3 linked regions of the Sus scrofa genome follow. The protein of the gene in region 2 purifies or fractionates together with the protein of the main gene of each other region. This does not show direct contact. Links are inferred from orthologs where the notes say so. Each region holds a gene or a part of one and is shown on either strand. Other genes may lie near its edges. The genes, in order: FLNA, RICTOR and PRR5L.

The links.
Region 1: the proteins of RICTOR (region 2) and FLNA purify together in Homo sapiens (affinity purification with mass spectrometry; 3 studies listed by BioGRID and IntAct, with this or other methods). This does not show direct contact. The link is inferred for Sus scrofa from reciprocal best matches to the Homo sapiens genes RICTOR and FLNA.
Region 3: the proteins of RICTOR (region 2) and PRR5L purify together in Homo sapiens (affinity purification with western blotting; 3 studies listed by BioGRID and IntAct, with this or other methods). This does not show direct contact. The link is inferred for Sus scrofa from reciprocal best matches to the Homo sapiens genes RICTOR and PRR5L.

What each region holds. Positions count from the first base shown.
Region 1 is NC_010461.5:124,910,531-124,914,177, forward strand, and holds part of FLNA (filamin-A), read left to right. Parts: coding exon 1-18; intron 19-98; coding exon 99-251; coding exon of another isoform or gene 252-371; coding exon 372-494; coding exon of another isoform or gene 495-611; coding exon 612-878; intron 879-1,026; coding exon 1,027-1,164; intron 1,165-1,342; coding exon 1,343-1,458; intron 1,459-2,009; coding exon 2,010-2,142; intron 2,143-2,764; coding exon 2,765-3,323; intron 3,324-3,407; coding exon 3,408-3,611; intron 3,612-3,647. UniProt on the Homo sapiens protein: Promotes orthogonal branching of actin filaments and links actin filaments to membrane glycoproteins. Anchors various transmembrane proteins to the actin cytoskeleton and serves as a scaffold for a wide range of cytoplasmic signaling proteins.
Region 2 is NC_010458.4:24,152,392-24,156,038, forward strand, and holds part of RICTOR (rapamycin-insensitive companion of mTOR), read right to left. Parts: coding exon 3,538-3,647; intron 3,247-3,537; coding exon 3,145-3,246; intron 3,032-3,144; coding exon 2,985-3,031; intron 921-2,984; coding exon 785-920; intron 382-784; coding exon 182-381; intron 1-181. UniProt on the Homo sapiens protein: Component of the mechanistic target of rapamycin complex 2 (mTORC2), which transduces signals from growth factors to pathways involved in proliferation, cytoskeletal organization, lipogenesis and anabolic output.
Region 3 is NC_010444.4:24,729,111-24,732,857, forward strand, and holds the start of PRR5L (proline-rich protein 5-like), read right to left. Parts: upstream 2,846-3,747; 5' UTR 2,085-2,845; coding exon 2,016-2,084; intron 1,871-2,015; exon of another isoform or gene 1,645-1,870; intron 1,576-1,644; exon of another isoform or gene 1,555-1,575; intron 1,529-1,554; exon of another isoform or gene 1,381-1,528; intron 1-1,380. UniProt on the Homo sapiens protein: Associates with the mTORC2 complex that regulates cellular processes including survival and organization of the cytoskeleton.

The sequences.
Region 1 (3,647 bases), on a different chromosome or scaffold from region 2:
TTGACACCCGTGATGCAGGTAGGTGGTGGTGGCCCAGGCGCTGGGGTGAGTGAGACCCCTGTCCTGGGCCCCCTGGCTCAGGGATGGCTCTCCCGCAGGCTACGGTGGGCTCAGCCTGTCCATCGAGGGTCCCAGCAAGGTGGACATCAACACAGAGGACCTGGAGGATGGCACGTGCAGGGTCACCTACTGCCCCACGGAGCCGGGCAACTACATCATCAACATCAAGTTCGCCGACCAACACGTGCCTGGTGAGGGTGGCGCCCACACACCTTCCCCAGGGCGGGGCACCCCTCCGTCCTTGTCGCTCCCCGGGGTCCAGCTGCCGAGTGTCGCCTGTGCGGGATGTGGGTCGTGCTTTCTCCCTGCAGGCAGCCCGTTCTCCGTGAAAGTGACCGGTGAGGGCCGGGTGAAAGAGAGCATCACACGCAGGCAACGGGCTCCTTCGGTGGCTAATGTCGGCAGTCATTGCGACCTCAGCCTGAAGATCCCTGGTAGGAGCTATAGGGAGCCAGGGAGGGGTCCCAGGGAGCCCCTGGGTGCCAGCCCTAGGGGACCCCGAAGGGCTGGGGCCTGGCTCTCCTGCTCACCAGGCTGTCCCCCACCTACAGAAATTAGCATCCAGGACATGACAGCCCAGGTGACCAGCCCATCAGGCAAGAGCCACGAGGCTGAGATCGTGGAAGGGGAGAACCATACCTACTGCATCCGCTTCGTGCCCGCTGAGATGGGCATGCACACGGTCAGCGTCAAGTACAAGGGCCAGCACGTGCCTGGGAGCCCTTTCCAGTTCACCGTGGGGCCCCTGGGGGAAGGGGGCGCCCACAAGGTCCGCGCCGGGGGCCCTGGCCTGGAGAGGGCTGAAGCTGGAGTGCCAGGTAGGCCTGCCTCCTTCCTGCGGGGCTCATGCTCCTCCTGGGGGTGCGGGGGGAAGCAGCCAAGCTCATCTCAGCCCTGCTTGGAGGGGGCCGGCGGCGGGGGTGAGGGGCGGCCAGCCGTCCATGAGGGCGCGCTACTTTCCCACAGCTGAGTTCAGCATCTGGACCAGGGAAGCTGGCGCCGGGGGCCTGGCCATTGCTGTTGAGGGCCCCAGCAAGGCCGAGATCTCCTTCGAGGACCGCAAGGACGGCTCCTGCGGCGTGGCCTATGTGGTCCAGGAGCCAGGTACTGAGGGGCGGGGGCGGGGGCGGCCAGGCTGGGCTGTGGCTGTTGATCCGGTTCCACGCAGACGCAGCCCTGCCCGGCTCCCACCCTCCAGCTTGAGGTCCCAGGGCCCCTCGGGCTGTTCGTGGGAGGCGGCGGGCTCGACTGCCATGGCCGACCTGGCTCCTTCCCTGCCCAGGTGACTACGAGGTCTCCGTCAAGTTCAACGAGGAGCACATCCCTGACAGCCCTTTTGTGGTGCCCGTGGCCTCTCCGTCTGGTGACGCCCGCCGCCTTACTGTTTCTAGTCTTCAGGTGAGGCACTGAGAGAAACCGCCCGTCTGGGGCTCCTGGGCCCGGCCAGACCAGAGCCACCGCACAGAGCAGGCCTCGGCCCTGTGTGGAGGGACCCGCCCCGCCCGGCTCAGGGCACCGGGCTTCTGCTCTGGCCGGGTGCAGCCCACGCTCGGGGTCGGCAGGAAGTACCCCTGACCGCCGCGTGGAGTTTTTCTCGTGTCTCAGGTCTAAAGGCTTTGAACAGAAGCCTGTGCCCCTTGAGCACCAGGGCTGAGGTTTAAAGAGGGACAGCCTGCCAGGGTTGAGCGCTGCCCATGGGGCAGCCCCCCCTGCTGCCGCCACGCACCCCCCCCCCAGCGTGTGCCTGTAGAGCTTGGGTCTGGGAGCGGGAGCGGGAGCGTGTGCTTGGAGCGTGCTGCCCCTCAAGGATCAGTGGCTCTCCCTCTTTAAACCAAGTTGGACGCCAGATGGGTAAGTGCAACCCCGTGGGCCTCCTGCTTCTGGGGCCCTGCCTGCCCTGGCCCCCGCCCCGGCCCCGGCCCCCCTAACCACGTCTGCTATGCTTCCAGGAGTCAGGGCTAAAGGTCAACCAGCCAGCCTCTTTTGCAGTCAGCCTGAATGGGGCTAAGGGGGCGATCGATGCCAAGGTGCACAGCCCCTCGGGAGCCCTGGAGGAGTGCTATGTCACAGAGATCGACCAAGGTGAGGCCCTGTCCCTGCCCAGCCACCCAGCCATCTGCCCTGGCCCCGCTGGGAGCCGTGGGCCTCCCCCCGGCCTGTCCCGCTGGCTGGAAGCAAGCCGAGAGTGCGAAGGAAAGGCACAGACCGGAGGCAGCCGAGCCAGAGCGCAGCTGCCCCTTCGGCCAGGCAGCGCTTCCCGCACTTGTGTCCCCAAGTCCCTGGGGACCTGGCGCACCAGCCATGCAGCTAGGGACCCGAACGAAGCCTAGCTGTGGGGGCTGCTCGGCCCAGTTCCACTGGTGACAACAGCCCAGTCCTGCCCCTTCCCGGCCACATGACTCCGAGCGAGTTCCTGCCTGTCTCTGGGCCCCAGTTAACATGGGGGGATGTGGGGGACTCATCTTCCTAGGGAGGCGTCATGGCAGGTGTTCTGCTTTACCAAGCGAGCGTCCTGGCAGTAGCTTGGGCACCTGACACTTCACCCGTCAGGCTTCAGGAGGTCTGCACTGTGGCGGGGGTGGGGGTGGGGGTGCCCAGCACGGTCCCCTGAAAAGGGGTGGGCAAGGGAAGCTCTCCACAGGTGCCGCTTGCTCAGTTCAGGAGGAGGGCTCTCAGGCCCACGGAGCCCTCCTCTGTTCCTCAGATAAGTACGCTGTGCGCTTTATCCCACGAGAGAACGGCGTCTACCTGATTGATGTCAAGTTCAATGGCACCCACATCCCTGGAAGCCCCTTCAAGATCCGAGTCGGGGAGCCTGGGCATGGAGGGGACCCAGGCCTGGTGTCCGCTTACGGAGCTGGCCTGGAAGGCGGCGTCACAGGTGGGTCAGTGGCTGCAGCTTCTGCTGTGTGGACACAACTGCTAGGGCCCCTCCTCCGAGCTCTCGGTGACAACAGGAGGCGTGTGGAGGTGACAAGGCTACGCTGGGGGCGGGGGGCAGGGAACAGGCCAGGCCAGCTCTGTCTAACCTCCCGTGCCCCCAGGGAGCCCCGCCGAGTTTATTGTGAACACGAGCAATGCGGGAGCCGGTGCCCTGTCGGTCACCATCGACGGGCCCTCCAAGGTGAAGATGGATTGCCAGGAGTGCCCGGAGGGCTACCGCGTCACCTACACCCCCATGGCACCTGGCAGCTACCTCATCTCCATCAAGTATGGTGGCCCCTACCACATTGGGGGCAGCCCCTTCAAGGCCAGAGTCACCGGTGAGCCTTGTACGAGCCTCCTGCTAGCCCGCCCGAGGCCTGGCCCTCCAGCCACCTCTTAGCCCTGCCTGCTCTGCCCTGCAGGTCACCGTCTCGTCAGCAACCACAGCCTCCACGAGACGTCGTCAGTGTTTGTGGACTCCCTGACCAAGACTGCCAGTGCCCCCCAGCATGGGGCCCCGGGCCCAGGTGCCGCCGACGCCAGCAAGGTGCTGGCCAAGGGCCTGGGGCTGAGCAAGGCCTACGTGGGCCAGAAGGGCAGCTTCACGGTAGACTGCAGCAAAGCAGGTGGGCGCCCAGGCCGCGGCCTTCCGCAGAGGCCAC
Region 2 (3,647 bases):
GTATAGGTCGCAGACGTGGCTCAGATCTGGCGTGGCTGTGGCGTAGGCTGGCAGCTGTAGCCCCAATTGGACCCCTAGCCTGGGAACCTCCTTATGCCGTGGGTGCGGCCCTTAAAAAAAAAAAGTTAAAAAAATAAATAAAGTTTAGGCATACACTGAAACAGAAGCTAGGAATGCTCACCATTGAAATACACTGCACTTTTCCAGCATTTTGACTCCGTGAGGGTGACAAGAAAGTGTTCCAATAAATAAAAAGTAGTGTTGACTAAGAGTAGTCAATAAACCATTATTTTGAAGACTTCTTTCAGGTTTCATTCCAGATGAGGCATTGAGCCACTGAACAATATCCTTTACTAGATCTTCTAAGTATCCTTGCCCATCCTAAAAGCAAATACGTTATGATATTGCTGGAAAACAGTGCCTACAATTAGAAAAATCAACTTTTATCAAGTCCAAGAAATAAAATGATAATGAAGTTACTAATAACACATCAATCACTGAGTACCTGTTCTTTGTAATCCCATTCAACACAGTGCTGTAGGAGATGGTATTGTTTTTCATTTTACAAGGAAAAAAAGTAAGGTCTTTTAAAAGGCAAATATTTGCCCAAAGTCACATAAATAGCTAATCTAGGTCCAGGCTCATTCCCTATGTTTCTAAATACAGGTTATGCATATTCAGAAATAAAAGGAAGGGGCAAATTCAGTTAAAAAAAAAAAAAAAAAAAAAAGAAAAGAAAAGAAAAGAAAAAATTGCTCTGGAAAATATCCAAAGTGCTTATTACCTCTTCAGACTCAAGAAGAAATTCTGTAAACTGGCAACCCACAACTGTGAGCTGCTTGGACTTGGCAAAGTCCAGATCCAAGTTCGCATATAATTTACTGCTGGGCTTGTAAAAATAAAGCAGTCTTCGTACAAACCTAAGATTAAAATAAAATCAGCAACAAAGTTATAAACCAAATAATTATTTTAGAATCTTAATCCTAGCTTATGATATAATAAGATTCTGAATATGTTTTGGATTTAAACCAGTGGGGTAAATGGAAAGAAATTTAATAAACATATTAGGTACATTCTACACACAAACAAAACAACCAAAAATAAAAAATCCCTTTACTGTAAAAAATATCTTCATGAAATAAGAATTGAATCATTAGATGCTTTAAAGAAATAATGGAGAAGATGCTAGCAGAAAAAAAAAATACAGATACTAACACAGCTAGAAGGTGGCATAAATGAGGACGCCACCTAGCTACAAATTTTCTTTTTTTTTTTTTTTTTTTGTCTTTTTGCTATTTCTTTGGGCCGCTTCCGTGGCATATGGAGGTTCCCAGGCTAGGGGTCAAATCGGAGCTATAGCCACCGGCCTACGCCAGAGCCACAGCAACGTGGGATCCGAGCCACCTCTGCAACCTACGCCACAGCTCACGGCAACGCGGGATCGTTAACCCACTGAGCAAGGGCAGGGACCAAACCCGCAACCTCATTGTTCCTAGTCGGATTCGTTAACCACTGCGCCACGACGGGAATCCCACTTCTTTTTTAATGTGCACACATTTTTTTTTGTTAGTTTTTTTTTGTTTTTTTTTTTACTCTCTTTTAATTCAGTTTATATACATCTTCTTCTATTGTACTTTTTGAAAGACTTTGTCCCATGGCTCTCTAAAATAATCTTGTACTAGGTAACTGTAATTAAATGCTGCTACACTATGATTTTGTCAGTTTTTCACAATTAGGGGAAAAGTCAAGCCTAAAAGCTCTAGGTAAAAGTTATGAAACTGACTTTAGGAAGCAATGGACATAATTTATGACATTTCAATGTCATGATTTTCAACATTATATTCTAAACTTCCATTTAATTTATTACCTCAATTTAATTTCATGCACTACAATCCAATCTAATAAAGGTGCCAGGTCCAGGAGTTGGAGAAACAGACTTCATCTCTGTTCTCAAGGGGTCTGAAAAGTTAGTGTTATGCTTCTTTATAGCAATGTAATTTATATGTTATATACAATTCTCAAAACTTAATTCAGATATTAAGTTAAATATCATTGAGTAGATGAGTACAATCAAAAAATAACGGAGTTCCCGTTGTGGCGCAGTGGTTAATGAATCCGACTAGGAACCATGAGGTTGCGGGTTCAATCCCTGCCCTTGCTCAGTGGGTTGACCATCTGGCATTGCCACGAGCTGTGGTGTAGGTCACAGACGCGGCTCAGATCCCGCATTGCTGTGGCTCTGGCGTAGGCTGGTGGCTACAGTTCCAATTTAGACCCCTAGCCTGGGAACCTCCATATTCCGCAGGAGCGGCCCAAGAAATGGCAAAAAGACAAAAAAATAAATAAATAAAATAATAATAATAATGTTAATGATATGAACCCCTCAAAAACATGAAGTAAAGGCCCTCTTATCCAATGAGATCAACACTGGCGGTGGGGTAGTCTAAACTTGGAAGACATAAAAATGCATGGGGTACTAAAAAACAGCACAATACCCTGAAGAGCTATGAACATTAGCATGTTTTATGGAAGGTGTGGAGAGCATCATCTTGGTTAAGGAGAGTGTAATGAGGAAAAAGAATGAATAATCCTCCAAGATGAAAATGAAAGTAGAATTGGAAGATTTAAAAAGGCCATCATTTTGAAAGGGAGACACTATGTCCTTACTATGCCATCTTCCTACATAAGGGCTAAGATTAGTACATGGTCAATATTCCTCAATTTGAGACACCTTTATCTCAAGTGCTTCATTTGTTTCAAAACTAAAACCAGAATGTAAATAACCAGAAAAAGAATTAGCTGATACTATCCGGTTATAAAATAGAACCATATACAAAAATGTACATATGTACCTAGTGAACACCAACTATTAAAATGTACATAGATGTTTTTAAAACATCAATTATTACTTTTAGTAGTTATCAAGCATAATATAATTCAAATCTAAGTTCTTTAAATTTAAATGCAAAACAGTTCTTACATACCTGTGCAACTGTTCATCTTTATAGTTTCTGAGATTTACATTTGGCCACTAGAAAAACATAATATATTACGTATTTATCACTTCCTAAACATATAATTTTAATGAATTATGATAAATAATAAAATGAAGATAAGCCATTTCCAAGAAGTAAGCTGTCATACCTTAAGAATGGTCCCTATAAGATTCCAATTCCATTCAAGATTCTCTTTATGTTGAAGGACTTGGCTATCTCTAAGATTCATTAAAAGAGCTTCTTCTGTATCCTAAAATCACCAGAAAATAATAAGAAAAATTAAGACAAACTGTCCTCACATTAAAAAAAAACTAAGTTCAAGTCTTAAAAAGAAAGATTTGGCATCTAAGGAGCATTATCAATGTTTTTAACTTTAAAAAGTTATAAAAACACAGCTCTTAACTGCCTAGTCATAAAACTTAGAAGGCTTTTGAAAATCCACATGCGTGAATAAAACTGTGAACTCAAGTAAGTGCATGCCTGCTAAAATCCAGTGCTTAAAAGAATTAGGAAATGAAAAATCGCAACTTCATGTCAGTACCTTAAGAACAAATATATCTTTCTGAACTCGGAGATATTGATCCCGTTTCTGGTGTGTTGCAATTGCTTTCTGAATAATGTGATCTAAATGAAGGCTATAAGGCTTAGGTC
Region 3 (3,747 bases), on a different chromosome or scaffold from region 2:
CCAGAGACCGACCAGCCAGGTTCCACAAAGAGCACTGCACCATTCTCAGTCTTACTAGGAACCTCATCAGGGGCTAAATTTAAAATGTGGCTAAATTAGTTTCTGCAAGTTCCCTCTCTCCTCCTGACCCACTTGCTGCTTTATGGTGTCAATAACTGCACCTTCCACCCCCAGAGCAATTTACCAAAGCACAACTTCGTGACATTTTGCAGCATGTAGGCCAGTGAAATGTCATGACTGCACTCATGGTGGTCAGGACACTAAGGGGAAGTAAAAAGGGCAGCCTCTGAGGCTTGATCAGCGAGCACCCTTTGGTAGGGGAGGCGGGGCAGGCGATGGGGACAATCTGGATATGGCGTCCTCGACTGGACTGCTGTGGTTCTTTGCAATGGGTCCCTTTGGATTTGTACGTATCATCTGGGTAACAGTTCCAGAACTCTGCCCCAGCAAGGATGCCCAGACTCCAGCCTAGAGCTTATTCCAAGCGGGTCTCTGGTGCAGACTTGCCGCTGAGCCGCCTGGTGTGAGCCTTCCGTCTTGTGGGGCACATCACAGTAATTGAAACCTTGCATACCGCAGGACTGCATTGGCGTCTATAAATACTCACCGCCTTACTGCTGACAAACAAAATGCGGGCTTCCCACACCGCCCGGGGAAGAGGTGGTGGCATGTGACCAAAGGCAGGGGCCGACTAAAATAGGAGGGGAAACCCTCTTGCCAACCAGGGAGGCACCCTAGAGCCAATTACAGAAGCAAAGTTTGCATGTATGTGACCTGGTCTGCTCCCCGGCAGCCGCCCCTCGCCCCTCGGAAAAGCGGCACAAGGCTGAGGATAAGAGGGTTGGAGCTGCAGGGGCCGGGTCTCCAGAGGTCCCCTGTGCTCGCATCGAGCTCGTAGGGGGCGCACAGTAGGCGCACCGGGGAAAGCCTCTCCAAATGGAGGGAGGGCGGGAAAGATGAAGCCCAAAGGGGATGCCGCCCGCGAGGAGAGCTGCCGGCCCCGCCGGGTCCCCGCTGGCTGCGCCCCGGCCCGCCCCAGTCGGAGCGCGCACGTCCAGTGGCGCTCAGGACAAAGCGGCTCCCTTCCCTGGCCTCCCCTCCCACGCCTCTCTGGAAAAAGGAGAATAACAGGGAAAGATGGGGGTGTTTGGGGGCGCCCCAGTAGGCTCTTTAGATTTGCCCCTCAGGCCAGAGGAGAAAGAGACAAAGAAGCAAACTTTCTTTTTCGATCTTCTGGCACAGCCTGGGTCCCAGGATCGGCGGCATCCTGCGTTCCACCCCTCAGCGTTCCCTCGTCCACCCTAAGCTGCAGATGCGGGGCGCGTTCCCCACCCGCTTCTCCCCCCTATCAGGGTCGCGAGCCCGGTCCTCTACGCCCACCTTCAGCGTCCAATCCGAGGATCCTGAACCACGCGGAGGTCCCCACTCGGTTGTCCCTCAATTTAACACTTTCCCCGAGCCTCCTCCCCCGTGCCCCAGTGAATTGTGCCCGGCGATTTTGTTCCCATTCCCGTGCCGTTGCTAAGCCTAAGGCTCCAGCCCCTCCCGAGTCACCTCGAATCGCGCACACCCGCAGCTCTCCTCCGCCCCAGACTCCACGCGCCCAGGGAAAAGTTTCCGGTCTTCCCGGGAAAGTTTCCTCACCCAAGAGCAATCAGCGACCTGGATGGCTCTCGCCGCCGCGCTCTGCCCAGACCCCTGTCCTCCCTCCTCTCCCGGCTCTGCCCTCGGCGGGGTCCTGTCCAGCCTCAGGTCCCCTCCGACGCGGGTCCACAAATGAAGCGGCAGCGGAGCTCCCGGAGCCAGGCTGGTGACACGTTTCCCTCCTCTCTCATCTTACGACCTCCTCCTCCCCCTCCTCCTCCTCCTCCTCCCCACCTCCTCCTCCCGCTTTTCCTGTCCTGTCTCATCGCTTTAGTTTCTCTCCAACGGGCCCCCATCCCACCCCACCTCACCCCATCCTCTTCTTACCCTGCTAGGGAGGGGGGAGGGGGGAGGGGGGCGCCTGCACTTACATCCACTTCAACAATTTCAGGAAATCCAACTCTGTAACTTGAAAAGCTGGGGAGGATGCAACAGGTCATGAGAGCTTGGCGCTGCGTTTCCCTCACACAGATCTCACACACACACACTCTACAGAGACGCCAAAGGAGTAATTCACCAGAGGACTAGTGTCTGGGACTTCTGCTGTTGTTTTAAGGAACAGTTCTCAGGCCAATTCCAGGAGAAGTTTTCAGTGCATTAATAAAAATATAATTCCATTGAGGTCTCTCCCTTAGATTTGCACAATTCTTTTAAACCTCCTCAATTCTCTAACCAGCTGAAGGTTTAGTGCATTGGAGGGGATTTCAAGTTTGAAACGGGAGAAAACCAACCAATCCCAACATTAAAAACAATGTAAAATTATTTTCAACACTGTTTTCTTGCAGGTGCTAAGAATTTGATGCAGCTGTTTTCAGGACTCATTGGCTTGCATAATTTCACCCTATGGTTGAGCAGGAAATACTTTACTAATGCTGCCCGTTCACACATCACACTTAGGCTTTGAAACCACAGTGGCATTTGCTGAAAAAAAAAAAAGTTGTCTTTTTATGTCACAACTGAGAAAAAAATTTTATATTTATTTTGATCACTGTGACCTTACAAAACCCCTAAAAGGGTTGCTGGTCAGAGTGTGCCCAAGGGGACTTTCATGGACGCTCTGGTGTTCCTCTTTTCCAGTGATATCAAATAAAGCTGAGGTATTCTCAGCAAACCCCAGGATGCTGAAGAGACTTTAAATCTCATCCCAGGAACTCCTGTTGTGGCACAGTGGTAAGGAAACCAACTAGTATCCATGAGGACGCAGGTTCAATCCCTGGCCCCTCTGAGTGGGTTATGGATCCAGTGTTGCCATGAGCTGTGGTATAGGTCACAGATGTGGCTCAGATCTGTCTGGCGTTGCTGTGGCTGTGGCATAATCCAGTGGCTGCAGCTCCAACTTGACTCCTAGCCTGGAACTTCCATATACCAAGGTGTGGCCCTTAAAAAAAAGAAAAAAGAAAAAAAAAAATCTCATCTCAGTAATCATGTACAACAAAAGGGACTGGACAAAGCACATGCCTGGGAAAGAAAGCCCTGAAAGAACAGTGATCGGCGAGGGGACTTGGGAGATGTATTCAGAGCAGCTGTGCTGAGCATGTATGGGCCAAAGCCTGGAGCCAGAAGGTCAAGGTTAATCAACCATCATCACTCATAGGTGCAGGATATTAGCCAAGTTACTTAACCACTATGCCTCAGTTTATTCCTACGAAAATGGGATTAAAAATAGTAGCTATCTCAGGGTTGTTATGAGGATTTAATGAATTCATACAGACAAAGCGCTTAGAAGTTCTGCTGGGATTCAACAGATATTAAGCTATTATTATTATTATCCTCCAAGTCTAGGAGGTGAAAAGGGAGTCTTTGTTCAATGAGACCTACCCTATTCAATCTATTTAAAATTGTCACTCACTCCTCCCTCCCAAGCCCCCTCATTCAGCTCTACTTTATCTTTTTTCCATTGCATTTTATCATCTTGTAACATTTTACATGATTTTTTTTTTTCATTGTCTCTCCCAACTACCTCCTGCTTCCAGGCTAGAACATCAGCTCTACAAGAACATGGTTTTGTTCTGTTCACGGAACCAGCCCAAGATTCTAGGAGAGTGCCTGGCACATAGTAGGTACCCAGTAAATATCATATGCATAAATCTGTGAATAGATTCA